7 linked regions of the Coturnix japonica genome follow. Each later gene encodes a partner of the first gene's protein in a complex. Links are inferred from orthologs where the notes say so. Each region holds a gene or a part of one and is shown on either strand. Other genes may lie near its edges. The genes, in order: PPP2CA, ARPP19, INTS6, PDCD10, STRIP2, STRN3 and PTPA.

Region 1 (4,249 bases):
AAACAAGGAACCTTTCCATAGCAGAGTAACCCTAACACCAGGCTCCCATTAACCTATGGCAGGTTTGGGAGCCACCACAATTGCTTTAAAGACAGCAGCAATCACTATTGCAATCCGCATGGAGCACTGCCTAGTGCACATTACACGTGTTTTCTCTGCACATATCAGATAATACGTCACAGGACTTTGGTTGCAGTTTCATAAGCAAGTTAAGATTTTCCTGCTACTGAAGCTTTAATTTAAGAAATTTAAAAAAGAAAAAATCAGAAAGAATTCAGAACCTGAGTTTCACCAGGAATTCCTCTATCTCTATGAAAACAAAAGCTAAATACGGTCTTTAACTTGGCTAGTTAAATAAGAGAGGATTATTGCCTTATGTTCTTTCCAGTTGCTTGTTCAGGATTATTTGGGAGGCAATGAAGCAGTGCCACAGAGCAGATTCTTGCCATTTTTCAACAGATAACACCTCTCCTTTTACAGCTTTAAAATACAAAACCAGAGGCATCTGAGGATGCAAAATAGAGCCCCTGAAGAAAGGCATGCCAAAAAAATGCACATCTTATAGAGAGAGCATGACATGGAGGAACCGAGACCGACTGGTTACAGCAAACATTCCTTCCCCTTTGCTCACTATTTTGTTTCTTTGCCTCAATAGCAAGCAAAGAATTTAACCCTTTCCACTCACTGCAAGGCAAACCCGGCTGGAGACAAGTGACTCCTATTAAGCAGGAAGCCTTTGGTAAGTGGCTAATTCCAAAAGGGCACATTGGGCCAAATTCTGACCCACTTTATTGATTTTGTTGTTCTTTTAACTGATATTTCACACGCTTGATAAGTTACTGTAAGGAAATGCCACACCGGCAGCCCCGTCATTTAGGATGAAGACCACTGCAATACACGTTACACACACCGCACAGCGTCACAGTGTCACAGTGCGGTGCGGGTTGGCAGGGACCTTAGAGATCACCGAGTCCAACCCCGGGATTGGAGCCTCTGTGCTGCAGAGCGGCACTGCTACCACTTGCGCCACAGGGGGATTCGAACCCAAGGCCTCCAGCGTTGCAAAGTAGCGTCCTTCAGCACTGCGCCCTCAGTGTCACACCCCGCTCCCCCACACACCCATGAAGCCGTACCCCACACACTGTACAGCGCTACCCCCTATTTCCCCACCGCTCTCCCTCAGACCCGCCCACAGCCGCGCCCTGCACGGGCGGGAAAAGCTCATGACCCGCAGCTCCTCCCGCGCATGCGCACGAAGCCCCTCACAGCGCGCAAGCCCCGCTCCCCCCAGCCAGCATGCGCCGCGCATGCGCAGCATAGAGCTCCGTCTCTCCGGTCGGGCAGGTCCCGCCCATGTCGCGCATGCGCGGTCCGTCCAGCCTACTGCGCACGCGCCGTCCCCTCCCATGGCGGCGCCGTCCCCTCCCCGCAGTGTAGTGGGGCCGTGACGTCAGCAGCGGCGGCCATTACACGGGCAGAGCGAGGGTCGGAGCGCTCTGTTCGCTGCCGTGCGTTGGGCGCCGCTCCGCCCGCAGCTCCACGACCCGCTGCTGAGCCGCGACCACCGGGATCGCGTCGTTGGGGCCTTTGGGGGGAGCGGCGGCAGCTGGTGGTGAGGGGGAGGAGGAGGCGGAGGAGGAGGGGGCGAGCGAGCGGCTGCGTGCGGGATGGAGGAGAAGGTGTTCACCAAGGAGCTGGACCAGTGGGTGGAGCAGCTCAACGAGTGCAAGCAGCTGTCCGAGGGGCAGGTGAAGAGCCTGTGCGAGAAGGTGAGGCGCGGCGTGGGGAGCGGAGCGGCGGCACGGGGCGGGGCGGCACCTCCGGGGTTGGGCACACGGGGCTGTGAGCAGGACGGATCGGAGCGGTGCCGGGCAGTGGGTCGGCTCCACACATCGGCTCGGTGGGTCGCTCTGTTGGGCTCCGCTGGGCGCTGCTCGCTCTGCCCGGCGCTGGATGAGCCGCGGCCCCTCGGCGGGCATTGCCGCGGCCTGGCCCCGCCTCCCGCCTTTTCATCGCCTCCTAAAATGGCGCCGCTGCCGGGAGCCGCCGCCACAGAGCACGAGAGCCGCCGCCGGGCCCGGCCCTGCCGCTCCGCCATCCGTGCGGTGCTGTGCGGTGACACGGGGAGGCCGTGTAGGGCAGGGAGCGTAGGGCGCGGTGCGGGGCTCCGAGCTGCTGTGAGCACGGCGGATTATTCAGTTATTCATTTACCATACAAATATAGGATCGCGGTTATTTCTAATTGAAGCGGAATTTTAGATCGACCTGGGGAGTCGGGTTTGTTTTTTGTTTTTTTTTTTTCCAGAATAAAATGGCGCTTAGTGACATAAAGCTCGTGTCGCTGTTTATTGCTACGGTGACTGATGGGGATCCGCGCAGCACAATGATGTGCTGTGTGTGTAGTGTAGGAGCGGCTTCACATCGGCAACTGTGCTCTAGGAATTAAAGGAATAATAGCTGCAGTGGTACCCGGTTGTATTGTCCGGTTACAGTCTGTTTCTGAGCGGAATTAAATCCTCAGCCATCATGAGCCATTATTTTCCCTTCAATTACTGGAGGTTTTATTTGTGTGCACCTTTAGATTGAAGGAATTGCCTTTTTTGGGGGAGGGATCTAGAAATCAATGCGTATGGAGGTTATTGATGCCCTCGGTCCTAAAGAAGGCTGCGTGCCTATCACAGGAGGAAACAGGGGTATTTTAAGGTTGGCACCATGCCTTCAAATAGTACAGCGTGTTGGTTTAGAAGCAGATTGTTTCCAGAGGGTTGTATGTGGACTTAGAATTAACTTGCAGTGCTTTTGGCCATACAGGTTCTTGTTGTGTCCCACATTTCAGTCGCCTCATATTCCAGCAACTCAAAATCAAAGCCGTTAGATATAGTTTGTGTGTTTAACGTGGTGTTCCAAGCAAGTAGCAGGTTAGGGATTGTTTCCCTTGTGTGTCTTTAGTGCCAGCACTCTGACTTTTTCCTCGTGTCCCATTTGCCATCACTGATGTGCTGATGGAAGGGCTGAATCCTGGCTGGGTATTTCTAATGTGGTTGTATGGCAATCTGTAAAAACCCGAGGAATAAATGAAATTCTTTGCATTTAGTGGATGCTGTGGATAGGTGAGCAGTAGACATGCCAATAGAAACCGCACAAAAGGCACCATAGTCCTGTTCATAATCTGTGCGAGGATGGAGGTGTCTTCATTTTTTCCTAATGAAGAATTGAATTAGTCTATTTCTGGCTGAGCGTGTAATGTTCATCACCAGAATAGATTCATGACACTAGGAAAGAAAAAGCTGTTCTAACCTGAAACGATTCTGATAGGTTCAAGGCAAGGAATCACGAGGCAGGTGGGCTCTGTAGGAGCAGCAGACTCTGTTGGAGAGGCTGGAGGAATGATAGGTGATGAGCTGCAGGAATTGTTTGGATGAAGGAGTTGAATTAGGTTACAGAAAGCTGCCTGTTCGACTGCTGCATTGAGATGAAAGGCTGCAAGGACAGGAGAGAGGCTGATGTGAGAATACCACTGAGCAGCAGGGATGGTTTGCCACAAGTTGGAGCCAGCTCCAGACCAAAGGTGGAATGTCTTTGGGCAGCATGACACTGTGCTTGAGATAAAGCTCCCTCTCTATTACTCGGTTGAGGTCAACACTTTGTGAGGTACATCCAGGCTGTTTGTATTAAGGGTGATAACTACTGGTGGATTTACCAGCCCCTGTTAGTGGTAGGTGAGATGCTGTGTCAAGCTTTCCATTGTCCTGTCCCCCCCATGGGTTGCTGTGTTCCCAAAGCAGGGCATTAGTTGAATTCTGTGCCTGTCTGCAGAGGTTCCTCATTTATCCTGTTCCCAGGCTTCCAGCACCAGCTCTCTGCAGTACTGAATTATGATTCGTGTTTTGATTATTGTCTGCAATCACACCCAAAGGTTATGATTTTCCATAGAGAGCTTAGATGTTAAGGGTGGTGTCAAACATAGTCACTGTTTCAAATGATGGGTGCAGACCCTATCTGACAGAAGCTGTCATTCCTCACTGCTCTGAGCTGTAGCTACGATAGAAAAAAGTAATCCCTCTTGTGAAGGCTTTTCCCCATAACATGCTGTTTATTAGGTGATCTTCTGACTGGTATTTCTGGATCTTCTGAGGCTTCGTGTGTGTCTAGTAAGACGAAGCCTGAGGGCTCTGTTGTGTTTCAGTATTGATAGCAGAAGAACACAACAGCTATTTGCAGACACAGTGCAGTGCAGCACAGTAACTCA
Region 2 (4,265 bases), on another chromosome or scaffold:
TCCCCTTGCATTCAGATCTTTGATTCAATTCATTTTTAGCTCCCTCCATTTCTTCCTTTCTAAAAGAGCCACTTTGGTTTCGCTGTCTGTTGGTGTCTCATATAATTCCCACCTTCCACACTTGATTTCTCAGATTGTGCTGAAGGATGTACTGTGCGAACAAACTAATTAGCATTTATATCTGAAATATATGCAAAAGCTATGGAACATGTACTTTGTTTTATTTTTAGATGAGGAGGATCTTCATGTAATCCTGAATATTTTTAATAGGTCAATTCCATGTAGGCCACTAGGTGGCTATCTGAAGTTTTACTAGAGATGCTATGTTGGGCATAGAAATGCTTTCCAATACATGTATTCCTAAAGCAAATCACAGTCAGATGAACAGTTTATGCTGAGTGTTAAACTGTGTAACTGAGAGAAATAAAGCTAGAAGCATTTGATTATATTTGAAGTATATATTTAATAATGAAAACGAAGCTTTATGATGCTTGCCGAAGATCTCACAGTTTCTCTGCTGTTTTACCCTGGATGATGTTTTTCCTTCCATCTCAATGCTTTTTCATGGCGTCAGTCATGTGAAAGGTGACCTTTGTGTTTGGGAGTGGAACGTCCTTATCTGATGAAGGCTGGAGAAGCAGTGAATGTGTGTTGTGCATTCAGTGCTGCTCTGAGATGAAGTGACGAGTCAGAGCACTGAGAAACCTGCAGGAAGGGAGAGCAGACCTTCCAGGTGATACAACTCTTGTGTTTCCAATGACTGCTGCTACAGAAGGGCAAAACCCAGATATTACTGAGCCTGTTTCCAGCTGGAGCACTATTTTTGCCCTGTTATGGTGGGTGTTCAAAGATCAGCATTTGTTTTAATGTAACCTGGGAGACGTTGTACAAGGGCATTGTTTGCAGTTATTGAACAAGGGAATTAATTGCAGTTATTGTACAAAGGAATTGCTTGCAGTTGTTGTACAAAGGAATTAATTGCAGTTATTGTACAAGGGCATTGTTTGCAGTTGTTGTACAAGGGAACACTTGCAGTTTCCAGTCATTTGAGTGTCCTGCAGAGCTGAAGATCTTTTGGCAGCCCAAGAGTCAAATACAACTGCAATTGCACTGCACGTGTAACCAGGACCTAATGTAGTATCATGGGAACGCACCCTAGTTTCTCTGTATCTGATGTTCAGCCCAAGCAGACAGCGTGTATCCTACAAGTACTTACCCTGTGTATCCTACAAGTACTTACCCCGTGTCTCCTACAAGTACTTACCCCGTGTATCCTACAGGTACTTACCCCGTGTATCCTACAAGTACTTACCCCGTGTATCCTACAAGTACTCACCCTGTGTCAAGGTTCTCGCACTCCCTCCCGCCCGGGCGCAACTCCCGACATCCCCGCAGCACTTCCGGTATCTCGGCCCGGCTCCCGGCGGACCGGAAGTGCTGCGTGACGTACCGTGGGCCGTGCCCATCGCCGGAAGTGCCCGCCGAGAGTTGCATTGCGCGCGGCGGGCGCTGAGCGGAGGAAGTGTGTTCCCGCCGGCGCGCCGTCCTGCCGGCCGCCATCTTGTGCGGAGCCGGAGTTGCGCTGCGCTGCGCGGAGGAGCGGCGCCCCGCCCGCCGTGCTGCTGCCGCGGCGCCATGTCTGCTGAGAGCCCCGAGCCCGCCTCGGCCGAGGAGCAGAAGGTGGGTGGTGGTGGTGGAGGATCTCCTGGGGGGGGTTGAGGGGAACGGGCCGGCGCGGGGCGCCTCCCTGCCTCCATCCGTGCTTCGCCGAGGCGGAAGGAGGCGGCGGCCCGCGGCACCGTGAGCGGCTCTGAGCAGCACGGGGGGAGGCGGCCCGAGCCCGGGGCCGGGCGGGCGGTCCGCGCTGCCCTCGCTCGGCGTCCGCCGTGGAGCAACGTCACCGCGCCGGGCCCCGTGCTGTGCTGTGCCGTGCCGTACCGTGCTGTGCCGTGCCGTGCCGTGCTCCCGGCGGTACACGGCGCTCCCGTCTGCGCTGGGCGGCCTCGGCCCGCAGGGAGCCCCGGTGCTGCGCCGCGAGGCTCCGTAATAACCCCTCGCTCGGCTCGGGGCGGCCGAGCAACACAGACAAAGGCTGGGCGGCCCGCGCTGCTCTGCGCGTCCAGAGAGCGGCGGCCGCGCTGTCAGCGCTCAGACCGTGGATGCTGGGTGCTGTGGGTGCTGTGTGCGGTGGGTGCTGTGTGCAGTGGATGCTCTGTGCTGGGCTCCGTTCTCGCAGTGCCGGCTCCCGGAGCCGTCCGTGCCGTCTGGGCGCCGCTGAGCGCCGGCTGCTGTCCCCGCTGCTGGCGGAGAAGATAGGAAACGCGGGTGTGCTGCCGTGAGGGCCTACGGAGGGGAAACGGCCCTTCGAGCCGGCGGGATGAAGTTTTTGTTTAGTAATTCACCGCCTGTAATCAGGGAGGGAAGGTTCGGGAGTCAGGATGGAACGGGGCCGCGTGGAGCGGAGGTTGGGCCCCGTTTCCCTGCGGCGCGGAGCTCGCGGTGCTGCCGGCACAGGCTGTGAGCGATCCCGCTCCGTGCCCGGCCTGTGCGGCGCTGCTGGAACGGCGCTGGAACGGGAGCGTGCTGACATGCGGCAGCGCGTTCGTTGTGCCGCCTTCTAGTGTGTTCTGGGGCTGTCGGCAGGACGGCGCTGATGCTGCCGACAAAGTTTGGGGCCGATGTCCTGCAATGTGCTGCTCTGAAACGCTGCTGGCTGCAGGACGGGTGGGATCCCGTGCTGAGCTTCTCGTTTAGCTGTAGTCGGAGCAGCCACTCGGGGCAAATGAAAGTCAATAAATCCTCATTTTCTCTGAGTCCCCGTCATGTGATGTCAGAGCTCCACACTAATACTGTGGCATTGTAACGTTCACCTTCAACAGTGTTTGTCTGGACAAGCAAAATGTCGGGTTGGTGCAGTTAATGCTCAGCTCCACAGTACTTGTCCGACCGACCCGTTCTGCAGTGCCCATTAAAGAAGAATCCCCTAAGGAACACAGGGGCAGTAAGTTGAGACTTCCCTTCCAAGCTGTGCTGCTGCAGGAAGCTCACATGGACGCTCAGTGAAGGCTGATGTCGACTGCAAACATTCCATGAGAGCAGCGCTTCCTGTTCTCTGTGTGAAAACTTGGGATCGTGGCAGGAGGAAGTTGGGCAACAAAGAAACCTTCAGGCAGTGGTGAACGTGTGCTTGTTCAGTGGTGCCGTTTGTGCCTTACCAGCCGGGGTTTGTCAGGAAGCTGGTAGCAGTGGTACCTCTTGTTTGGAGACTGGCTGTTCCCATAACTGCGCAGTTCCAGTGCCGTCATGTTTTTCTCATTTTCTCCTTTATATTCTTGTCTGATGTCTTTCTCTAAAGGGGATGAGCTTTATTCAGAACATGATTGCCCAGGCTTGTTTTTAGCAGTGCAGTTCAGCTGTCCAGCAGATAGCAAACCTCTTGTTTTTCATGAAGATTAAAAGCAGGAGCCATTTTTAGATGTGTTAGGTAACTACTGGCTGTGCTGGTAGCTCGTTTTAATGAAGTGAACAGACCTCATTAGCTGTGCAAAAATTCCCATAGAGAACTAAAATTACAACTTGTGTGGTTGTCACTAGGAAGAAGTGCGTGGTACATCTTGATTTTTCTCCATCAGTTGTCAGTCATTTGGTTGCTGCTTCTATAATAACTCAAGGGAAAACACTGCTAATATGCCATTGGTCTTGTGGGTTTGAGTTAACGCCTTTGTGTTGCAATGATGCATCTCCAAGAGAGCTCAATGCCACGTAGTCTGTGGAAGATAGAAAGGCAGGACAAGCAGGCGATGATCTTCCATTAAAAGCTACCCCAGGTCTCCTCAGTCTATGGATAAAGGTCTTCTGAGCTGCAATTAAACACATCCAGTGCCTTTCTGAATTCATCTGTGTTCTTGGTGTCCCCTGCATCCTTTGGTGAGGAGTTCTGGAGCTTGACTGCACCTTGTTTCTAGGTATTTTTGAACCTGTTCTCAGCTGCTTGTGTCTGACGTCCCAGTCTTTGTCTTTCATCCTTCTTCATGTTATATAGTTTTAGGGGGTCATAGCTGTTCTTGGACATGAAGAGGTGACTGCAGTCTGTATCCTTTTAGCTGCATTGATGCACAACTCAGTATTTGGTGTTTGGTTGCCTGCTGTGTGATGATTTGTCAACCCTGCAAGTCTGCATAAATATCTCCTTTGATGTTCTGTGAATGCGTATTTGTGTGAGCTCTTTATTGTCAGCCCTCTGTTCTTAAAAATATCTCCTTTGG
Region 3 (4,128 bases), on another chromosome or scaffold:
ACTGAAGAAACATAGTTGTCAAATTTCATTACCCCCCCCCCCACCACTCCAAATAAGAGAGTTTTGTCACTGATCTCATAGGACTTCTGCTGGAGATTCTTTAGTGGCTCCTAGCAGCGACCCAGGATAAAAGACAATATCCTCGACGCTGCCCCAGTGCCTCAGGATGGATGGCACAGGTCACAGGTGCCAGTAGGAAAGGCAAAATATCTATTCACAGGCACAAGGACACACCTGTAATGAAAATGTGATTCCACCTCTGTCTTTCCAACCTTCCTAGAAACTAAATGCTAATCTTCATTAGTCTTTAAAAAAGAAAAAAAAAAAAAAAGAAGCCCAAAACAGCTCTTGCCTAACAAGACAGAAATGTTGCCTGGAAGAATGAAATGATTCAAACCAGGACGCTGCCAATTTTATCTTAAGAAGTACAGTGGCTTCGTACCTTCTAGAGAACGGCTGTGGGAGCACATCAGCTGGATCAGGGGAAAACATCAGCCAGAAAGGAAGCAGCACAATCTCCTGAACAGATAATGCTAAGAAATGGCTCTGGAGTCAGCGCTCCAAGGCTGGGAGAGCAGGAACAGCACAGACACAATTGTGGGGAAAAACAAACAGAAACCTCCAAAGGACGGAGAGCTCAATCTTCAGCATTAATTGGCTGGAAAGACTCCACAACGATGTGATTTATAGTAAATTCGGAGTGCCTGAGCACGGATCAAAGGGACACAGCAGTGTTAATCTCTGCCTGCGCGTAGGGAAAAGGTCACAGTTAAGGGCAGCCCGTTTGTTTTTTTTTAATCTTTTTTTTTTTTTCACACCAAGTGAAACTGCAGAGCGGCTCTATGGGAATTCACCACACAACCAGCCCGGCCTCGCGGTGTCCCCTCACAGCCAGCGGGGCGGTCCGTGGCTCTGAACGCCTTTAGGACCCCACCAATGCCCTCCAAAATCAGGAGAGCACCGCCCTACACGCCTCGGGAGGCGATGAGCGCTAAGCAACGCCACGGGGTACGGCAGAACGGCGGCCTCGAGGGGCTGTGGGCTGATACGGGGCTGATATGGAGTCACCCCGCCGCCCCTCACCCCACCTCCACTGCGCATGCGCGGCGGCGCCGCTCCCCCCCACCCTCTCCCACAGCGGCTCCATCCCCCCCAACCCCGCCCTCCCCCGGCGATTTGAATATGCTAATGAGCGGCCTACCGAAGCCCTATGGCGGGGCCGGGAGGCGGTCACGTGGGGCGGGGACGTGTCCTAAGGGGGCGTGTCCCGACCTGCCCAGGCGCCCTTAAAAGCGGGCGGCGAGCGAGGAAGCGCCTCAGTCAGAGAGAGAAAGTGGCGGGGTGGGCGGGCTGCGGCCGGTCCGCCTGAAACTTCTGAGTAACATCAACAGGGGGAGGGGAGGGAGGGCGGCGGTGGAGGAGGACGGTGGTGGCGGGGGGGAAGGTTAGCAGCAGCGCAGCCCTCCCCGCCGCTCCCGCAGCACCCGGCCCGTGCCGGGCTGGGCAGGCCCCTCACACAAAGGAGGGCAGGGCAGGCAGCGCTGCCCCCTTCCCCCGCCTCGGCAGAGGGGCAGCGGGAGGCCCTTCCCGTGCACAGCACTCACAGCCACTCGCTCCTCTCCCGACCCCGGCTGCCTCTCCTCCTCCTCCTCCTCCTCCCCCTGCTCTCCCGTCTCCCTCCCGCCCGCTGTCCATGTAGCCGCCCGGCCGCCGGCCCCTCCGCACTATGCCCATCTTACTCTTCCTGATAGACACGTCCGCCTCCATGAACCAGCGGGCGTACCTCGGCACCAGCTATCTGGACATAGCCAAAGGCGCTGTAGAGACTTTCATGAAGGTACCGGCGCTGCCTGGCGAGAGGAGGCGAAAGCGAGCGAGATGGGGAGGGGGCGGCGGGGGGCTGCGGGCCGGGGGCGCGGGGGCTGCGGGAGAGACCGGGAGGGGGGTCGGGGAGGGAGGGGAGGGCAGTGCCGCGCCTGGAGGGGGGAGATCCGGCACCTCCTCTCGCCTCACCCTCCGCTTTGTCCCCGCGCCGCAGCTGCGGGCCCGGGACCCGGCCAGCCGCGGCGACAGGTACATGCTGGTCACTTTCGAGGAGCCTCCCTACGCCATCAAGGTAACCCCGCTCCCCCCTCCCTCCACCGCCGCCCCCCGGCCCTCCTTCCTGCCCCGCCGCACCGCCCCTTCAGTCGGGCCGGGCCGCGCGGCGCCGCGCACGCACGGCTTCGGGCAGCGGCGGCGGCGGCGCTGACATCAACATGGCCGACATTTTTTTTTATATATCCCCCGTGTGGTGTGTGTGTGTGAGCGGCAGGAACTGTGGGGGAGGTGTGCTCAACTTGGGAGAAGTGACAGCAACTCCGAGGAGAGTTCGGCGGGGAAGGGGAGGGAGGGGAGAACCCTCCGGGGCGGGGGCTGCGGGACGCGGGGGGGTATGGGGGGTGAACCCGCTGGGCATCGCCTCTGTGGGGTCGTGAGCCCGGTGTGTAGGATTCTTAGTGTGTGTGGCTTCGTCCCTTGTAAGAAATACTCGATGAACGCAGAGCATTTCATGCTCTTTCAGTCCGTCTTTTCAGGCTCTACGAAATGCTACTGAATGCTGGTAACTTCCGAGGTGTTCGTTTAGCGTTGAAGGGAGACGCTGTAGCCAACAGAAAAGCCCGATCCCGTAGGAGGTTCCCGTCCCGAGCTCATTCCACCAATAAGCCTTCTCGCGTTTCTCTTTTCAGGCTGGCTGGAAGGAAAACCATGCGACGTTCATGAATGAACTGAAAAACCTTCAGGCTGAAGGACTTACAACTCTTGGCCAGTCCCTAAGAACAGCTTTTGATTTATTAAACTTAAATAGATTAGTAACTGGCATAGACAACTATGGGCAGGTAGGTTGACTGGTAATAGGTGGAAAAATCATAAAACACACGTTTCCCGTGGTTGCCCAAAGTAGTGTCTTCATGAAGCACTCAATACAGGGGCTTCATAAAAAGCAAGCAGAGTTCAGACAGTCTGAAGAAGTGTAGGTACTAACTACAGTTCTGTACCCAGCTATTACCTCCTATTCTCCTCATTACTCTCTTTTTAAACTACTATGTAAGCTGCAGTTGACCTTCTCAGTTAAACTTTGTAGTGTTTTTTTTTGGTGACAAATTCCAGAACCTTAACTGATGAGCCCAATGAGGCCTTCAAAACATTGATTTCTGTATATAGTGCTGTATGATCAGTTACGTACAATTTGGGAGATGGGCTATTTTGTCTGACAGCACTAAAGCACCTAAAGTGCTAAGCTGAGCACATCTCTTTTAAAGCGTTATTTTCCAGTGAGTTTACTTCAACACTTCTCTGAATACCTCTCTTTTCATATTCATGTTTATAGTAGAACCTTAGGAAGCTCTGATTTTCAAATGCTTGTATGGCAGCTGTCCCTTTAAGGCAGAACTACTACTGGGAAGGTCCAGTGTTCCCTTGCTCAGTAGTATGACTTGCTACAAGCCCTTAACTCTAGGTTAAAATATGCACTTTAAGAAGCATACCCAATTCTTTGTGGCACTGGATCAGACCCTGGATTTGTTTTGCATAGAAGATGTTACCAGTACTGGGCAAAGTATACCCTGTATCTTTCACGTGGGATGTGCTAAAGTCAATCTCCCCTTTTCGTATCTTTTCTCATGTAATGTTTCATCTGCTCTCTGAGGATTAGTTACTGCTCTTGGTATTTACCATGGGGATGTGGCTGTGAAAATAAGTCCCTGTTTTCTCCCTCCCTTTTCCCCGTCTGAGTGCGGTTTATGATAACACGCCATGTTTGTTTAGGAAGGAGGTCTATCTCATGTTGCACTGTATGGCTTGCCCACTAGGTGATTAAGTGAGTCTAAACATTTTTAGAATGCCAGTTTGGTGATGAAACTTCAAAGAAAAAAAAGCTAGTTCCACACATGGCTAGTTTTTCTTGTCTATTACCATCTGCTGTCCTCTTCTGTGTACTAATCTTTCCCATTTTCTGCCATTTTTCTTTGTTACATTAGCAATGCAAATCTTCTTGAAACATCTACCATAGCAGATACATACATGGAATACGTGCTCTTTACTGTTTCTATTGATAATGAAGAAATATGTGAAACCCGTGTCATATAA
Region 4 (4,043 bases), on another chromosome or scaffold:
GAGCATATTAAGTAAATCTAGGAAAGCATCATTAAGCATTACTTATGCTGTGACTTAAAGTAAAATACTAGCACCAGTAGGACTGCAGCTTCCTAACATCACTTTACAACCACTAAGGAATGACAATATCATAGATGCATATGCACCTCAACCCATGCTATAATGCTTCTGTGTCTGTCACACAAACTAAATAGCAAGGCTTTCTGCTGGATTAAAGCACTGATCGCATCAAAATAATTGAGGAATCAAAGACAAATACTCCGCATACACAGTAAAGCATGACAAATCTAGTAGTTGTTTTCTAGCATCCTTCCTTACCTACATGCAGATGGTGGGCACTGGTAGCATGTATGGGTAGCACACACAAGGGCTCTGCTCCCACACATATATCAGTATCTTCCCATTTCACCACCTCGGCGCTGCAAGGAGATGCAGCTGGCATTCAGGAGCACCGCGATGCACCGATTCATCACCTGCTTACAGCAAAACCCGCATACGCCTCACCAAAGTAATAACAGTACCAGGAAAAGTTGCAAGCTAACGCATTAGAAACGAAGGCTCAAACCTAGAACTGAGCTGCGTATTGATGGGAATTCATATTGGTTACTAAGAGCTTCACCTTAAAGCTTTCCAATAACTGCGAGCACCAAAAGTAACGCGACCGTTGTCAAACAGCCCATATAGGGGACACCTACAGGGCAACACAAGCCAAGAGATAGAGAGGAGAGAGGCAGCAGCTCAGCACAAGGCTGGGGCAGCTTCGTTCTGCCACGCTCAAACCACGGCTGGGACAGAGCTTCAGGAGACCACAGAATAGCATAAAACACACTCAGGTGGACAGGCTGCAGGTGCCGGGACAGCAGGACGCCACATTATTATTGCTCTCTTCCTTCCCCATTCTCTCCCCACATCACCCACCACCTCCCCTCAGGCACTGACACACAACCCGCACTACGGAGCCACGCAGCTTCACACCGACATCAAACCGCAGGCTGCTCCCGCAACCCTAAACACAGCACCGGCTGAACACAGCAGGCTAAAGGCACTTACCACAGCAGCAGCTCAACACCACCCCCCTCCACTGTGAGAAGTGCAGCCGCTGCTCCCCGCGCCGGGATATGCCACCGCGCCCCGTCCAGGCCTCGCCCACCCGTCCAGATTCGAGCTCTGATTGAATAGACTCTACTCCTATACTCCTCCTCATTCCCTCCTACCCGCCCCTTTTATCGCCTCGTTGCATTGTTGGTGTTGTAGTTGAGGAGAGAGGACTACGAATCCCAAGTATCCGAGCGGCTGCCGGTTAGTTCCGGACAACGCCTGGTGTGTGGTAACACGGCGGACGCTTCCTCCTTGTTGGGTTTCCGGCGAGGTGGAGGAGCCCCCTCGGAGCTCGGTGAGCTTTGCGGGGCGGAGAGGTATCGAGGTAAGGCGGTGAGGTGAGAGAGGCTTCGTTTTCTTCTCTAGGCCCATGTCTTTAAAGGGATAAGCGCCTGGAGAGACACAGAGGAAGAGGGTGGGGGTCACCGGTGTAAGGCCTGGGTTTCCTTTTGGGGTTGTGCTATGTTAGAAGCGTTAAACTGTCTCAGGTTTGAGGCTGGGTGAGGGGAGAAACGTTGTTTGCTGCAGGTGTGAGGCCTCGGCCTTTTTCTTCCTACCGCGGGGTGACCTGGCCCAAGGGCTCGTCCTTGTTTCCGCCCTTCCCGCTCGGATCCCTCCTGGTAGGGCCGGGTACCAACCCCCGTCCGCAGCCCTATGGCTGTTCTTGGCAGCGTTAGGCCTGCGTTGTATTTTTAGCCCGGCCTCGTACTGCTGAACGGCGTTGTCAGGGCTGGGCCTGGTTCGCTCCAGGTGGGGCCTTTCGTCTGGGGGAGGATAGAAAGTGATCACGTCGTGCTTCCTCTTTAAACCAAGCTTTAGGCTGGTGTTGTTAAACACCTTAGTGTGCTGTTATATGATTAATGAGTGGCGAGTGTGTGGCCTTCCTGGGGCTTGTCCATATAGGGGGCACAGGTTTGCTGCTGAAGCCTTGAGGCAGGTGGATGTGTTCTTGTTATCAGAGGAACTGATTGCTGAGTGCTGGTTGTTTACCCATTGGGATGTGTTATTGTGTTTGGAGCTGTTTCTGTTTGTGGTTTATCTGTTAGTGGTTGATAGGGCAATGAGAACTGAGTAGTTTTACTTTCAAATTCCCTTGGAAGAGGAAAAGAGCTTGAAAGAGAAACAGGGATGTGTTGTGTTATTCTGTATTGGAGAGGCTTCTTTGTGGCCTTCTAGTACTTAAAAAGAGACATGTTAACAAAAGAGAAATGAACTTTGTCTGCGTGTCAGTAGTGATAGTACAAGAGAGAGATGAAATTAGGGCCTAGTCCAGGCATCTTTTGTTTTTCATGTGATAGGCAGACACAAAACCAAAGTATTAGGGTGTACTAAATAATTTCTATTCTGAACTTCAGACAACAGATTTATTGAAAGCCAGATTTCAGAGTATTTTGAAGTAACCGTCTAAAAATAGGCTTCTTGAATTTACTGCAAGTTTGTGCAACTTAGTCACCCAAATTGGCTTCACAATAATAAAATGCACAAGCAGTTATACTCTGTCAGAGTGAACTCATCTGGAAGTGGCTGTGATAGATGTGCATGCAGGTATTTGAGGAGTACATGTTTGCTCTACTAAGAGGCATTTAAAGATGCCTATTAAACTTGAGTGCTGTTTTCTGATAGTATTCCTTTTGTTATCTCTTTTGGGAAGGTGCTGAATGTAAGCATTAGCTTAATACAGAACCTGTACAGTAGGCTGCTTCTTTAGGTTTCTTGTTGTCTTTATTAGTTTTAGAATACAGAGGTTGTTATCATCATAGCTGCACTTGACACCAATTTCAGTGAATTCAACCATCCTGTCCCCAGCTCTAATAAGAGAAGTAGCTCAGTATTTGAGGCACAGAGGCTTTCAGCTTTGTACTATGCAGTCAAAGTTATACAAGAGGAGTGGTTATGATCTACGAATGGAAGTACTATGTAGGTAACTTCTCTCCGGAAGGGGGGAACTTGTGCTTTTTTTTCCAGTTTATTATGAGCAACCATTAACAAGAGAAACTTAAAGGTACCAAGTTGTGCACAGGGTAGGTACACTGTTAGAACTGCATATTAGCCATGTACTTGGGCTTTACAAATAAAGGCCAAGGTCTTTGCCTCTGAATTTGGGACAGGCCTCAAGTTAAGTGTTTGTTTTTATCCCGTTCTTTCTTACTAAGCTTAAGTTTTTCTGATGGCAAAGATCTTAGTGGATTTTCTCTTAACACAACCTTCTTGAATCCTCCCTACAAGAAGTGGAGTGGAACTTCTTGTTAGTGGGGATAATCTTTCTAGGAGGAGCAGAGCTGTAACTTCTGGTTCTGTCCTAAAAACCAGTCATTGAATTAATCATGCAGGTAGATCAATGCCTCAGGCCTTCTTCCACTTGGTACTTCGCTTAAAAAGAAGGAGCAGGCTTAAAAAGAAATAGCACAAACGTTTGGCTGCTTTAAGATTATCTACATCTGAGGTAAATGGAGCCTGGAGAATGGAATGGAGACAGCACCAGTGGTGTAGGTAGGTGACGTAGCTGAGGAGTGAAATTCTGCCATCTGGAACTTCATGTTTCCATTGTTTTCCAACTTCTTTCAAGTTCCAAGCATAACACTCTGTCTTCTCTTTAAACATGCTTTCAAAAGGTAGTATGAAGCAAAATACTTTCTTTCATAGACAAGTAGATTGTTTTCACACTGACCAGTGAGCAAAGGTGGATTTGGGAAAGTTTCTGCCCTTCCTGGTTCTTCTGCCACTTGACTTTTAAGTGCCTGTCAGAAAATAGCATAGATGAGAAAAGCAAGTTTGTGTCTTGGGCACTGGTAACAGTAGCTGTACATTTTGGGAAAGTGTGGAGTTTCTTGCTTTTCATCTTCCTGCTTTACAAGAAGTTTATCTGAATGTAGGGTGTTGTGTTGTTTTTTCCTTTCAGGCAGTTCCATTGAATGATTGAAAACCTCATTGGGTGGATTTGGAGG
Region 5 (4,027 bases), on another chromosome or scaffold:
CATGGAGCTGAGTACCTCAACATGGAGCTCTGGATCCCTGCCTGGATCTCAGCGCCCAACACAGAGCTCAGCTCCCCACACTGAGCTCATCGCTGCCCCAGGATCATCTCTCCCGGCAGCTGTGCCTATTTCTAAGCCCTGATTTACCTTCATTTACCTTCCAGGTGATGGGACAAAAATAATAACAATAAAAGAAAGACACCCCCCCCCCCCCCCAAACGGCCTCACCTTTTCCCACCTGTATTTTTAAAGCTCTTCTCCGTGTCATTCTGCTTCTTCTCCTGTCAGCTTTTCCGCTTGCTTGGCTTTTCCTAATCAATCTGGAATTATAATATTCTGTGATCATCTCTAAATTAAAACGTGTAATTTTTATTTTAATTTTTTTTCTTTTTTTCTTTTTTTTAACGTTTTTAAAGATTTAGGAAAAGGAGATTTTAGGGAACACCAGCAAAATCATGTTAAGGAGAATAAATCAGTTGAGATCTTTAGAAACAAATGAGACAAAACCCATCATGGTTGGCTGCGGAGAGGGCAGCAAAACTTGGAGAACATTTTCAAAAGGATGTTTTAATTATTGATGTCTGAGTGATTGTATTAGAGCAGCAATAAAGACTCTGTAATCTCGAAACAGAAATAAAATGTTGGAAAACCGATGTGCTGCTCCGGAACTGGGGATGAAGGATGGAGTGGGGTGGGGGTGGGGAAGGGGATGGGGATAGAGTTGGGGTTGGGATAAGAGAATGGGATGGGATGGGGATGGAGATAGAATGGGGATGGGGATGGAGATAGAATGGGGATGGGATGGAGATGGGGATGGGGATGGGATGGAGATGGGGATGGGGATGGGATGGGGATGGGATGGGGATGGAGATGGGGATAGAGTTGGGGTTGGGATAAGAGAATGGGATGGGATGGGATGGGATGGGATGGGATGGGATGGGATGGGATGGGATGGAGATGGAGATGGGGATGGGATGGGGATGGGACCCCAAACCCCTTCTGTATGTGGGACATGTTTGCTGAATGGCGCCAGTTTGGGGTCGCTGCCCCCCCCAGCCCCCTGCCCTGGGGCAACCACCATCTCCCACAGTACGGGGTCACCCCATGCTCCCCCCAGCCCCATCTATGGGCACCCACACGTGCCCCCCCAGCGCCCCTTATTGCAGTGTCCATCATCTCTACGGTGCCCCCCAACCCAATAGCAGAACGGGGTGAGGAGGTGTGTCCTCCAGCCCCGCCCCCTCCATGCAACAGCCAATAGGAGCGGGGGGGCGGGGCACGAGGCGCGGCCCCCACGTGCGCGGAGGGGCGCGGAGGGCGCAACGCATGGAGGAGGCGGCGGGGGGGGCACCGAACCCGAACCCGAACCCGAACCCGAACCCGAACCTCAACGCGGGGAGGGCCCGAATGGGGCAGCCCCCAGCGCAGAACCCCCCCCAAAAGGGCCGGGAGTTCTTCAGGGGACAGCGGAAGGAGTCCGAGGTGGGGAATGGGGGCATGGAATGGGGCTGGAAGTGCTGAGGAGCTGCGGGTTGGGGGGGGTCGGTCATTCTGGGGGTGGGGAGTCCGAGGGGGTCCTGGTCCGGGGGGGTTCCCTGCGCAGTCCCTGGGGTCACAGCGCCGGTTATCCCAGTGGTGTCCCCAGCCCCTGCATCTCAATGCTCCCCCCCCAGTTCCAATGCTCCCCGCACCCCAACACCCGGGGGCCGATGGCCCAACGGGGGGCGCAGACCCACAGTGGGCTCCTGTGCTGGGTGCGCTGGGGCTTCACCCCCCCCCCCCCCCCCCCCCCCCCCCCCCCCCCCCCCCCCCCCCCCCCCCCCCCCCCCCCCCCCCTCCTCCTTCCATGGCCCCACTGATCCGATTAGTCCTGAATTCCTCCTGGGATTTAGGATCCTGAAGGGGATCCGCAGCCCTGGGCTGCAAAAAAAATGGGGTGAAAAAGCGTAGTTTTGGTGCAGAGCGCTCAGCCCCGTGCTGAGCATCTTGGGGGTACCCATAGGGATGGGGTCGATGTACCTCGCTCCGCCCCACAGCCAGGAGGGAGCGATGGAAGTGCCATCCGTGACCCATTCATGCGTTCTCTCTCCGGGGTTTTACGCTCCAGTTCCGCTCCCGCTGCGGGAAATGGGGGGGGTCGGGGGGGGTCCGCAGCCCTGGGAGGGACGTAGGGAGAAGGGACGGCCCTGGAATTGAAGCTGGGAAGAACTGGGGAGCACACGTGGGGCTGAGTGCGGGGTGGATGCGTGCACGGGGCTGTGCGCTGGATGGAAGCCATGGATTTAAGACGGGAAGAACCGCTGTCCGTGCACGGGGCTGTTTGCAGGGTAAACGCTGCGGGTTTACGTTGGGAAGAACAGGGGTATGTGCTCGGGGCTGCCTGCAGGATGAAAGGCGTGGATTTAAACCGGGGAGGTTTTAGGCTGTGCAGAAATGGAGCTGCACACGCGGGGCTGCTGGGCAGGGTGCGAGCCGTGCATTTAAGCGTGCAGGGGCTGTTTGCAGCCAGGGCCGGCTGCTGTTTTTACGCACCGCTTCCAAACGCGCCGCTCTCCGCAGGGCTCCGTGGATTTCCCCACCGTGGAGTTCGAATACGGGGACGCCGACAGCCGCGGTGCAGAGCTCGCAGGTGGGGCTGTGGGGTGATCCGTGGGGCGGCAGCAACCTGGAAGGGAGAGAGAGGAGGGTTTAATTAACGGAGGGGTTAATAATGGGGTATAGGGAATGTGTAGGGATGATCATATCAGACTACGATATGATACTATGATGATATTGGAAGCAGCATAAAACCCCAAAGCCCGGAGCTGTTTGCATGGAAGCAGTGCTCGACCTGCCTGGCTGCGCGGTGCTCCTGGGGTTTCTCCTTTTGCAAAGTGACCAAATTGGGGCAAAATTACCCTCCAAATGGCACTGCAGGTGCAATGGGGCAGTGGCAGGGGCGGGGGTGAGGTGGAAGTTCCTATAGGTGAGGCTGTGGGGCTGATATGTGGCTCTGGGTCCCGTTTTTTATGCCACACTGGGGTATCCATGCTGTCCCCATTGCCTCATAGCAATGTGAAATGGGTTTGGGAGCAGAGTCAGAACCCGGAGCTCAGTGAAGTTCTAAAATTGCTCAGGGACACTGAGATATCAGCACTGTCCCCACTGTCCCATCGGCACCCACCAGGAGAGCTGCTGTAAGGCTCAAGAGTCCAGGGTCCCATTTGGGTTTTATTGGATTTTAATGCCATGTTGGGATATCTGCAGTGTTCCCAACATGAAATGAGACTGACTGGATGGTTATGGAAGCATTGAGTGGGATCCCAGTGCTCAATGGAGCTCCCAGAGAGCTCCAGGACAACACTGGGGTTCTGCCCCACATCTTGGGCATGTGGGGATATCTCAGAGGAATCTGGTGGTGATGAGGGGTGAAAACCCTTCTGGTAACCGCTGTCTGTGTTCCAGCAGAGCTGTACAGCTACACTGAGGAGCCCGAGCTCAGCACCAACCGGCGATGCTTCGAGGAAGAGTTTTGCCCCCAAGGTATGAGCTCTGTGTTCAGTGCCCCATGGCACAGTGCTGCCCCACAGCCCACACATCACTCTGTCCCCTCTGCAGCGCGGGGTCGGCAGTGGATGGAGCTGGACACGGCGCAGCAGAGGGCCCACGTGCTGCGGCTGCTGGAGGGGCTGGAGGTGGTCAGCAGGGAGCGGCGGCTGCGGGCAGCGCGGGCCATCCTCTACCTGGCACAAGGTGAGCACCTGGCCCAGCTCCGTCCCAGGGAGGTCCTGGGGGGTCCCAGGGCAGCACTCGCTGACCACGTTCCTCCCTGGGCCTCCCCAGGAGTGTTTGGAGACTGTGAGAGCGAAGGCGATGTCCTGCACTGGTCACGGCACAACAGCTTCCTGCTGTACCAGCTGGGCACCTTCAGCGCCTTCCTGGAGCTGCTCAGTATGGAGATCGAGTGAGAGGACGCCACAGCTCCCACCTTCCTCACCCTCCTCTTTGTCCTATTCTCCTCCACACCTCCCTCTTCATCTTAGTCTTT
Region 6 (3,500 bases), on another chromosome or scaffold:
TAGAGGAACTCAGAGTTTGAGTAACTGATGAATAGGCTGATCTTTTTTGTTTTAGGCGCTTTTACATCTTGCACAAAGAAAAGGCTGCAGTAAAGAATCTTTAAGTTAGTAAATTTAGATGAAGGAAGCAAACCTCTCAGAGAGGAGGTTATAACAAATGTTTCATATATCAATACTTTTAGATTTTCCTACTACTGATATTCAAAGAATAGATGAGTATAACTAACAGATCTGTAAGAACACAGATGTGGTAAATTACTTATCAGTATTTTAGCAAATGTGACACATAGCTGTTTTACTTGAAATATTATTTATATTGAAATGCTATAAATACTTATTTGGTTTCTGATCTTTTGTCTTTCCAGAGCCAAACGTTCTAGCTGGCACACTAGTTGCTCACACAGATGCAGTCTGGGGTCTTGCTTACAGTGGTGTTAAGAATCACTTACTATCTTGTTCAGCAGATGGCACTATTAGATTATGGAACCCACCAGAAAAAATGCCCTGTATTTGCACTTACAATGGAGAGAAAGGTAAGTTTTTTGCTGGGAAATTTTGGTTTTGAAAATTTGTTATGAGATATCTGATGAAGTTCTTGGCTTGTCTCCATTTTTCAAAGCTAGTTAACACGACTAAAGAGAGATTCTTTTAATAAAATAATCCTGATGCTGTGGTGTTATTCTGAAGGGAGCAAATTAAGTATGGGTAAGCTTAATGCTTATGTTGTTAAGAATGTTAAGATGTTCTCTTGTTGCTAAAGGCATTTTTTTTCCTCACTTTTTAGAGCATGGAATACCTACATCAGTTGACTTCATAGGTTGTGATCCTGCTCATATGGTGGCATCATTTAACACTGGCAGCACAGTCATCTATGATTTAGAAACATCTCAGTCAGTGGTAATGCTTTCATCCCAAGTAGAATCTGGTAAATAAAGCTCTTTTCTATTAAGTATTTAACTTGAATGAAGTGCCTGTATGAAAGTTTTATCATGTGGGAAGTAAAAAAACAATAATACAATTATTACTTACAATAATTACTTACAAAAATTGCTTACAATAATAAGGGATTTCAGCAAAATATTCAGTGTAGAATCTGTCCAGATTGTGCTTCAGTTCTCTCTTATGGAACATGTAATATTAGAAATTCTGTTGCTACAAATAAGGTGTTACATAACTTGTTGTTGATAATTGTATATAGTTGATGAGACTCTAAATAGAGGACTTGTCTTCAGTACTTCATTTTCTTGAATCTATGGAAGTGTTTCATAAAGAAAGCGTTCAGTTTCTGATTATTCAAATCTTTGCAAATACATCTAAAAGAGTAGTGCAAGGGAAGAATTTGCTTTTCCTCTCCAATTAGTCCAATTCACTTAGTGATTGTTCTTATAGTATCAAGTAGCATGTAGATAAGATAGCTTTTGCAGATTTTTATAACATGTGCTGAAGCCTATACTCTGGGTATTGTGCATAGCTGACACTGACAGTGAGAAGCACCATTGCAGATTGGAGAGATTCCTTTCCTCCTTTAAGAGAATCTCAAAAGAAATCAACAAAACAAGAATGAAGGAAACAATCTTTAAGGCAGGAAGTGTATTATGAGGACTATTCTGAGAACTTACGAAGATGCTCTAAACTTTCAGTATTTCTTTAAGCTGAAATACATAAAAATAATATCTGCTGGAATCTTGTAGGTTAGGTTGAGTTTAGATTTTTTGTTTGTTTATGTTCAAGATGTATTTTTTTTTTATATGAAGGTATAAGAGTTGTGTTCTAAATATATGGGCGATTTGTTCCTTTCCTTATTTGTTTGCCATCCATCTGAACAATCTTTCTTATGTGTAAACCAGCTGTGCAGCTTTAACCTTAAAGTACATTGGCAGGAGTATACCTGGCTTAATCTATCTTCTGTTAAGGCAAGATGGTGGTTATTATTAGATGTGTTGATGTTGTTCTGAGGGTGTTTCTTATATAATGTTAATACAGTATGGTAAAGTGGAATGCTAGAATATTTTCATTTTAGCTTTAGCCATTTCTTTAAGGCAAATGAGTATATGTTTGTGGTTTTTTTTTAATTTCAGGTGTACAATCAAATAATCACATTAACAAGGTAGTAAGTCATCCCACACTTCCTGTTACTATTACAGCTCATGAAGATAGACACATCAAATTTTTTGACAACAAAACGGGTAAGGGTAAAGAGACCCTCATGTGAATGTATGAATATGTTCCAAGTAGATCTGGATGGATATAGGAAGAATCCATTTGTAGAGAATATACTAGTGACCAGGACTTGATGTTGTTCCAAGATTAACTTTTATATGAAATTATGCCATCCCTTGCAACTGTGACTTCAGCAGTCAGAAACATTCCCTTATACAGAGATGGTTATGGCAGGCCAGAATATCCTTTTAAATTAGCAAGATGTTGATTTATAGAATATCTCCACTATTTTATTCCTGTTTTCACCATTTCCATGCTTATCACTCCAAAGTTATCACTCAGTTATATTTTCAATTCTCAGTCATAAAAATCATTACTTGGTACTGAGACAAGATATGGCCCTTAATTCATTGTAGCAGTGGAAGCCTTTGTTATATTTAAGTTGTTGGTTAAGTTCTATTCGACTTCAATTTTTGAATCAGCTGTCATTTTCTGTGTGTTATCCTACTAAGCAGGAAGAGGGGGGGGAAAAAAAAAAAGCATAAACTGACTTCTGTATGTATGTGTGCAAAACCCCTGTTTAAAATGTCTGCTTAGGAGATGAAGAGGGGTGTTATTCTGGTATTTTTGTTTTGGTTTTATTAGCTTTCTGCCTTTAAAAAGAAAAGGATAAGATGTTTTTTCCCCACTTCTTCTCACCTGTGGTCATTAAATATGCTGAAATGATTACTCCGAAATTCAAATGTATTACCAAGTCTTTAAAAGTAACAAAGGAAGATATGGCATGAACAAATAACTGCGTTAAAGACTGGAAATGGAAAGTGACCAGGAAGAAATGGAGATCCTTGTAGGCTTGAGAATAAGCACATTAAATTCTGTGTGGAAAAATGTGTGAGGGAAAGGAATAGCCAACAAAATCAGTTAATATATTGTATGAGTTCCTGATGCATACATACTTGTACTTTGTGTTAGTCTCCTATTGCTCAAAAAAGGATATAGCAAAAAAAAGCGTTTCAAAGAGTGGTTTAACATATGAGAAATGACAAATTGGGCTAAGATTCTTCAGGAAAAGAGAACTGGATAAAGATGACAGAACTTTTTCATGTTGGTTATGGTCTTACTGTGGACTTGTTAGCTTACTCTCTTTTCCAAAACAAGAACTAAGGTTCAACTGACAAAGAGTCCAGGGGAAATGGCACAGAGTAGTTGGATATGCAGGTAACCACTTAGGTTTGTAATGTAACTGAACAGTTAATTTTAGAAGTTGGAGAACATCTTGTATCTAAAGTACCACTTAGTTGTCCTGTTAGATGGACCTTTGATATTACCGAGTATGTCTT
Region 7 (4,221 bases), on another chromosome or scaffold:
TAAAGGTATCTCCAAAGCAGAGCAGCAACAGAATGATGCAGTCCCGAGGATTATTATGCTCCTCTGAGCAACCATGGGGCAGACAGGGTGTAAACAAAGCTAAGATCACATCTGATGACTCTGAGCAAACAGGGAAAACTCCCCACTAAATTAGCTGAAAACAGGTAGATCTGTGTTTTCTCTTTTATGTCTGTCCTCTGCTTGTTTGGATTGAGGTCCAACTCAAACATTTGATGGGAGGAGGAGCAGCGATCACAGCTGAACAGAGGAGGCAGCTGGCAGCAGAGATAGCGAGTCGCCTTCCTCTTCCCCACAAGCACCAGGGAAACAAACACCAGCAGAGCTCTGTGTGTGTGGATGGGCCCAGCTTACAGGCTGGCAATGCTCCCAGGCCACGTTCCAGTATAACCGATGACCTTTTCCAGTGTGTAAAGCCGATGGGAAGTCCACCTGCAGGCTTGGGGGGGGCGGGAGGAATTTCAGAGCGGTGTCTGATTCCCAGCACAGCCAGAACGTGTCGTGTCAGATGACAGGTGTATGTTTGTCTTTTTATATTAGAAACTGGAGCCTCCTCCAGCCCTGAGAAACCATCTCATGGGGTGAATCCACGCTGCCTCCTGCCCTGAGGTCTATCAGTGGTGTCAGTGAGCTCTGACCAAACCAAGGGTTGGGTGCTGCACTTTGGCTTGGGACAGAGTGGATCTGGGGTTTAATGTGTGCTCAGGGGGTGAAGAAGGCCAAAGGCAGCGTGGTTTGTATCAGCAATACAAAGCAAGGAGCTGACTGTGCCCACATAGTGTCACTGCTGGGGCTGCACCTCAGTGCTGTGCTCAGCTCTGGGTCCCTCACTGCAAGGAAGACACTGAGTGTGCAGAGATGTGCAGTGTGTGTGGGTCTGAGCGGCTGAGGGCAATGGGATGGTTCAGAGCACAGAGGATCATATGGGGAGTCCTGACGGCTCCGTGCAGTCCATGAAGGAGCTGTGTTGAGGTGGGGTGGGCTCTGCTCACAGGGTGGGATGAGAGGAGATGGCCCCACATTGGGGCAGTGCCAGGCCCCAGCCGGGCTGACACCCCTCCCCACCCCTCACACGGGACACCCCCCGCTCCCCCCGCTCCCTTCATGCTGTGATCGAGGCCCAGCTGCCCCCTCACGCTCCATCCCGCCCCTCTCTGCTCTCACTCACCGCCGCTCTGGCCACGCAGCCCAACATGGCTCCTCTCCCGGCCGCCGCCGCCGCCCGCCGCAAGGACACCGGCACCACCGGGCGCCACCGCCCCGCTCGGCCGGCAGGGGGCGGGGCTGCGCGCCGCCATCTTGGAGCGGGGCGAAGCAGGTTCTGCCATTTTTGAAAAGGGCAAAATGTTACTGTAAGGAGAGCGAGTGTGAGGCGGCAACCAGACAGGGCAGGGCGGCGCTTTGCCCGGCTCAAAGATGGCCGCCGGAGGTATCGGCGTTCAAGGTGAAGGGTGAGAGGTGAGGAGTCAGAGCGGCGGCGGCCTACGGGAAGATGGCAGAGAGCGAGCGGCCGGCGGGTGAGAACGGGGGGGACGGGACGGGGATAACGGGGCTAAAACGGGGCTAAAACGGGGGTAACAACGGGGGTAACGGGGCTCTGTGTGGATCTGAGGGGAGCAGGTGGACCGAGCCGCCCCTGGGGCCTGTAGGGCCGGGAGGGCCGGGCCCTTGTGTGGTTCCTCACGTCTGATTCTATCAACCTAAAGTTATGGGCAGCCAGGCTGTGACACCGTCAGCAGCAAAGAGGGGACAGGGAGCTCAGGGCATGGGGGAGTTCTGCCCACAATCATTTCCCTATCTCCATCCATAGCAGGGTCTGTGTGTTTCCCAGCTCCCTTTTCCCTGCCGTGCCCATCACAGGGGTACAAGGGTAGTAGAATAGTAGTACAGTAGTACAGTAGTACAGTAGTACAAGGCCTTCTGAACCTGCAGCCTGTAACAACATTTGGAGTTGTCCCACTGTGTGATGTGGAGCTGTTGCTGGTGTCGCTCCTGGTGCTGAGCAGGCAGAGGTCTGTGTGTTTTATGGGTTTCAAATGATGAACAGAGTGATCCTGGTAGTATTCATGGGTTCACATCAGCCCTTGGTTTCTTTAACAGTGGTTTGCTCTGCTGTCTCGTGCTGTTGGGTGGCTCTGTGTGGAGGCAGGAGTTGGACTCTGATCCTCATGGGTCCTGGATCAAACTGGGATCAAAAGGATCTTGGTAGCGTTGATCTTTAAGGTGCTGCGTTTCAGCATCCTCAGCGCTTCTGGAATGGAGAGTGCTGCTCTGGGCTGCCATCTACTGAGTCGATCCTGTGTTGTCTCTGCAGGAATTGGCCTTCTTAGGGGATTGCAGCCCAGGTGCAGCACCCCGAGAACAGGTGGTTTGTAAGGAAAGCTTAGTGCTTCAGCATGACCCAAGGCTTGTTCACCCTAGAAATAGCTAAACTAGCTGGGTGATGTCACTGCTGGCTCCTGCAGGCTTCTCTCTCTGAATGGGAAATTCATCTTCAGTAGAGACAGTGAACGTAATGCAGCCTTTCTGAAGCCATCGAGTGTCCTCCAGGGGATGTTATTGAGGGGATGCTGCTTGCTGAGCAGGACTTGGTGAGATTGAGGCACGAGCTGGGATGGATTTGTTTGTGTTCAGTCTCCTGGGAAATTAATGTTGCTTTCTAAGAAAGGAAGGTTAGAAGATTGCTTCTACTCCACTGCCTGCTTTACCTCTTTCTTGCATCTCCCAGGCAAGCCAGAGGAGATGGCTCCTCCCATCCAGCAGAGCTTCATGATCCCCAGAAAGGAGATAAACATGGTTTCTGACATGGGCAAGTGGAAGCGCTCTCAGGTATGTCTGTGGGTTCAGGGAAGGCTGGTAAGTGCTTATTACGTTACAGTGGTAGCTGGGTCTGGACTGGTAACTGCCATGAGGTATAAAGCAGGTTTGGGCAAGTTGTGGGAAATTAATGGATGTGTGTTGAAGCAGGAGTTGCTGCCTGATTGTAGGAAAATGACTTGGCAGCGAGGTGTGGAGTCTGGCAGCCAAATGCTCAGACAAAGGAGCCAGGGAGAGCCCAAAGGTTGAGGGGGACAAGAGGTGTGTAAGAATTATTACTGCTCCCTGCCGACATGCCAAGTGGTAACTATTTCACCCTACATAACCTGAATGTTGTGATATACCAGGTTTACCCGATGCTGTCTGAACTCAGCTTGAATTTGTGAGCTGGCTGTCTGGCCCTTACGACATCAGGGTGGGTTGGTTCCTGGTGCCTTCCCGCTGTGCTGTACTGGGAAGGGCTCTAGAGCCAAAGCCTTTAATTTCCTGGGTAATTTTTGTTTATAGTGTCTGTGGGGCTGGTGGAACAGGCAGATTCTCTGTCCTCTGCCTTTAAGACATAGTAGGGATGGGCTGGACTTGTTTCTCCTGTTGGTTCTGCTGTTTAGGAATGAACTCTTGCTTAATGTCTTATGAGAAGCTTAAACTGTTGCCAGCTCTCTAGTAAACTTAGGATTGCAATTCCCCTTATTAAATTTTCTGGGACTAAGGACTTGCTCCTCTCTGGATTTATGTGTGAGGGTCCCAAGGAGCAAGAGTTGGCAGAGTGCTAGTCTAACCATTCCACAGACCCAGAGCTACCAAGCTGTTCTGCATATGATACTTCAGAATCAGCTCGTATAAAGAGCACAGCAGTGAGGAGTTTGGGCCGTCTCCCACTTCATCATACGTGTACACAGGAGAACAGAAGGAGATAATGACAGACCTGGGAGGAGCATTGCAGGGCGGGATGTCTGGACACCATAGAGATTCTGCAGAGCCAGGGAGTATGAATTTGACCTGATAAGAGGCAGGGAGCTGAGAGGAGGATTTCAGGGGCGGCGTGAGCTTTCTTAGAATTCTTCACTCCATAATCTTTTCAGCAATGCAGAGTTGTTGGTGCGATCACCATCTGCCTTCAAGGTCTGCCAGAAATAGCAGTAACCTCACAGCAAGCCCCGTGCCCTGGCTGTCTCCATGAAAGCAGTGCTGTGTTCTGGGAAAGGTTCCCTTGGTGTGCAGGAGCACGATAATGCTGCAGTGCTAATTCAAACAGACTGTGGGTACTCACTGACTTGCTCTTTTGGATGTGTTTGCAGGCATATGCAGATTACATGGGCTTCATCCTCACCCTAAACGAAGGTGTGAAGGGCAGGAAACTGACCTGTGAATACAACGTTTCAGAGG

Evidence for each region.
Region 2: the proteins of PPP2CA (region 1) and ARPP19 are in contact, whole or in part, in a cryo-EM structure (PDB 8TTB), measured with the Homo sapiens proteins. The link is inferred for Coturnix japonica from reciprocal best matches to the Homo sapiens genes PPP2CA and ARPP19. Residues at the interface, in NP_002706.1 of Homo sapiens: Arg89, His118, Gln122, Gln125, Val126, Tyr127, Tyr130, Asp204, Asp205, Pro213, Arg214, Gly215, His241, Gln242, Leu243, Met245, Tyr265, Arg268, Cys269; in NP_001293124.1 of Homo sapiens: Phe60, Asp61, Ser62, Gly63, Asp64, Tyr65, Asn66, Met67, Lys69, Ala70, Lys73, Ile92, Pro93, Thr94, Pro95, Leu98, Arg101.
Region 3: the proteins of PPP2CA (region 1) and INTS6 are in contact, whole or in part, in a cryo-EM structure (PDB 8RC4), measured with the Homo sapiens proteins. The link is inferred for Coturnix japonica from reciprocal best matches to the Homo sapiens genes PPP2CA and INTS6. Residues at the interface, in NP_002706.1 of Homo sapiens: Arg89, His118, Val126, Tyr127, Pro172, Trp200, Pro203, Asp204, Asp205, Arg206, Gly207, Gly208, Trp209, Ile211, Pro213, Arg214, Gly215, Tyr218, His241, Gln242, Leu243, Val244, Met245, Glu246, Tyr248, Asn249, Trp250, Cys251, His252, Arg254; in NP_036273.1 of Homo sapiens: Leu20, Gly21, Thr22, Asp26, Lys29, Gly30, Glu33, Lys78, Asn79, Gln81, Asp575, Glu576, Asp577, His580, Ser581, Val582, Pro583, Ile584, Ala585, Met587, Gly588, Asn589, Tyr590, Tyr593, Leu594, Met626, Met627, Ile628, Asp629, Glu630.
Region 4: PPP2CA (region 1) and PDCD10 share a complex: the UniProt entries of both Homo sapiens proteins name them as parts of the core of STRIPAK complex. The link is inferred for Coturnix japonica from reciprocal best matches to the Homo sapiens genes PPP2CA and PDCD10.
Region 5: PPP2CA (region 1) and STRIP2 share a complex: the UniProt entries of both Homo sapiens proteins name them as parts of the core of STRIPAK complex. The link is inferred for Coturnix japonica from reciprocal best matches to the Homo sapiens genes PPP2CA and STRIP2.
Region 6: PPP2CA (region 1) and STRN3 share a complex: the UniProt entries of both Homo sapiens proteins name them as parts of the core of STRIPAK complex. The link is inferred for Coturnix japonica from reciprocal best matches to the Homo sapiens genes PPP2CA and STRN3.
Region 7: the proteins of PPP2CA (region 1) and PTPA are in contact, whole or in part, in a crystal structure (PDB 4LAC), measured with the Homo sapiens proteins. The link is inferred for Coturnix japonica from reciprocal best matches to the Homo sapiens genes PPP2CA and PTPA. Residues at the interface, in NP_002706.1 of Homo sapiens: Arg89, Gly90, Tyr91, Gln122, Gln125, Val126, Tyr127, Gly128, Asp131, Glu132, Arg135, His191, Asp205, Arg206, Pro213, Arg214, Gly215, Gln242, Leu243, Val244, Met245, Asn249, Asn264, Cys266, Tyr267, Arg268, Cys269; in NP_821068.1 of Homo sapiens: His31, Thr32, Val33, Ser133, Arg134, Phe135, Lys138, Arg141, Asn180, Thr182, Arg183, Arg235, Glu237, Pro238, Gly240, Ser241, Gln242, Gly243, Val244, Trp245, Asp248, Asp249, Phe250, Phe294, Ile295, Met298, Lys299, Thr300, Ala304, Glu305.

What each region holds. Positions count from the first base shown.
Region 1 is NC_029528.1:2,281,238-2,285,486, reverse strand, and holds the start of PPP2CA (serine/threonine-protein phosphatase 2A catalytic subunit alpha isoform), read left to right. Parts: upstream 1-1,449; 5' UTR 1,450-1,667; coding exon 1,668-1,769; intron 1,770-4,249. UniProt on the Homo sapiens protein: Catalytic subunit of protein phosphatase 2A (PP2A), a serine/threonine phosphatase involved in the regulation of a wide variety of enzymes, signal transduction pathways, and cellular events.
Region 2 is NC_029525.1:7,620,686-7,624,950, forward strand, and holds the start of ARPP19 (cAMP-regulated phosphoprotein 19), read left to right. Parts: upstream 1-1,465; 5' UTR 1,466-1,635; coding exon 1,636-1,680; intron 1,681-3,904; exon of another isoform or gene 3,905-3,927; intron 3,928-3,944; exon of another isoform or gene 3,945-3,965; intron 3,966-4,265. UniProt on the Homo sapiens protein: Protein phosphatase inhibitor that specifically inhibits protein phosphatase 2A (PP2A) during mitosis. Inhibition of PP2A is enhanced when ARPP19 is phosphorylated.
Region 3 is NC_029516.1:152,175,915-152,180,042, reverse strand, and holds the start of INTS6 (integrator complex subunit 6), read left to right. Parts: upstream 1-1,328; 5' UTR 1,329-1,726; coding exon 1,727-1,837; intron 1,838-2,038; coding exon 2,039-2,116; intron 2,117-2,729; coding exon 2,730-2,879; intron 2,880-4,128. UniProt on the Homo sapiens protein: Component of the integrator complex, a multiprotein complex that terminates RNA polymerase II (Pol II) transcription in the promoter-proximal region of genes.
Region 4 is NC_029524.1:18,270,924-18,274,966, forward strand, and holds the start of PDCD10 (programmed cell death protein 10), read left to right. Parts: upstream 1-1,243; 5' UTR 1,244-1,393; exon of another isoform or gene 1,394-1,436; intron 1,437-4,043. UniProt on the Homo sapiens protein: Promotes cell proliferation. Modulates apoptotic pathways. Increases mitogen-activated protein kinase activity and STK26 activity. Important for cell migration, and for normal structure and assembly of the Golgi complex.
Region 5 is NC_029516.1:795,090-799,116, forward strand, and holds the start of STRIP2 (striatin-interacting protein 2), read left to right. Parts: upstream 1-1,227; 5' UTR 1,228-1,245; coding exon 1,246-1,482; intron 1,483-2,216; exon of another isoform or gene 2,217-2,267; coding exon of another isoform or gene 2,268-2,327; exon of another isoform or gene 2,328-2,559; coding exon 2,560-2,629; exon of another isoform or gene 2,630-2,665; intron 2,666-3,447; coding exon 3,448-3,522; intron 3,523-3,597; coding exon 3,598-3,732; intron 3,733-3,822; coding exon 3,823-3,943; intron 3,944-4,027. UniProt on the Homo sapiens protein: Plays a role in the regulation of cell morphology and cytoskeletal organization. Required in the control of cell shape. Calmodulin-binding scaffolding protein which is the center of the striatin-interacting phosphatase and kinase (STRIPAK) complexes.
Region 6 is NC_029520.1:30,897,362-30,900,861, forward strand, and holds part of STRN3 (striatin-3), read left to right. Parts: intron 1-365; coding exon 366-533; intron 534-784; coding exon 785-925; intron 926-2,078; coding exon 2,079-2,186; intron 2,187-3,500. UniProt on the Homo sapiens protein: Calmodulin-binding scaffolding protein which is the center of the striatin-interacting phosphatase and kinase (STRIPAK) complexes.
Region 7 is NC_029532.1:4,127,948-4,132,168, forward strand, and holds the start of PTPA (serine/threonine-protein phosphatase 2A activator), read left to right. Parts: upstream 1-1,421; 5' UTR 1,422-1,510; coding exon 1,511-1,535; intron 1,536-2,746; coding exon 2,747-2,847; intron 2,848-4,133; coding exon 4,134-4,220; intron 4,221-4,221. UniProt on the Homo sapiens protein: PPIases accelerate the folding of proteins. It catalyzes the cis-trans isomerization of proline imidic peptide bonds in oligopeptides. Acts as a regulatory subunit for serine/threonine-protein phosphatase 2A (PP2A).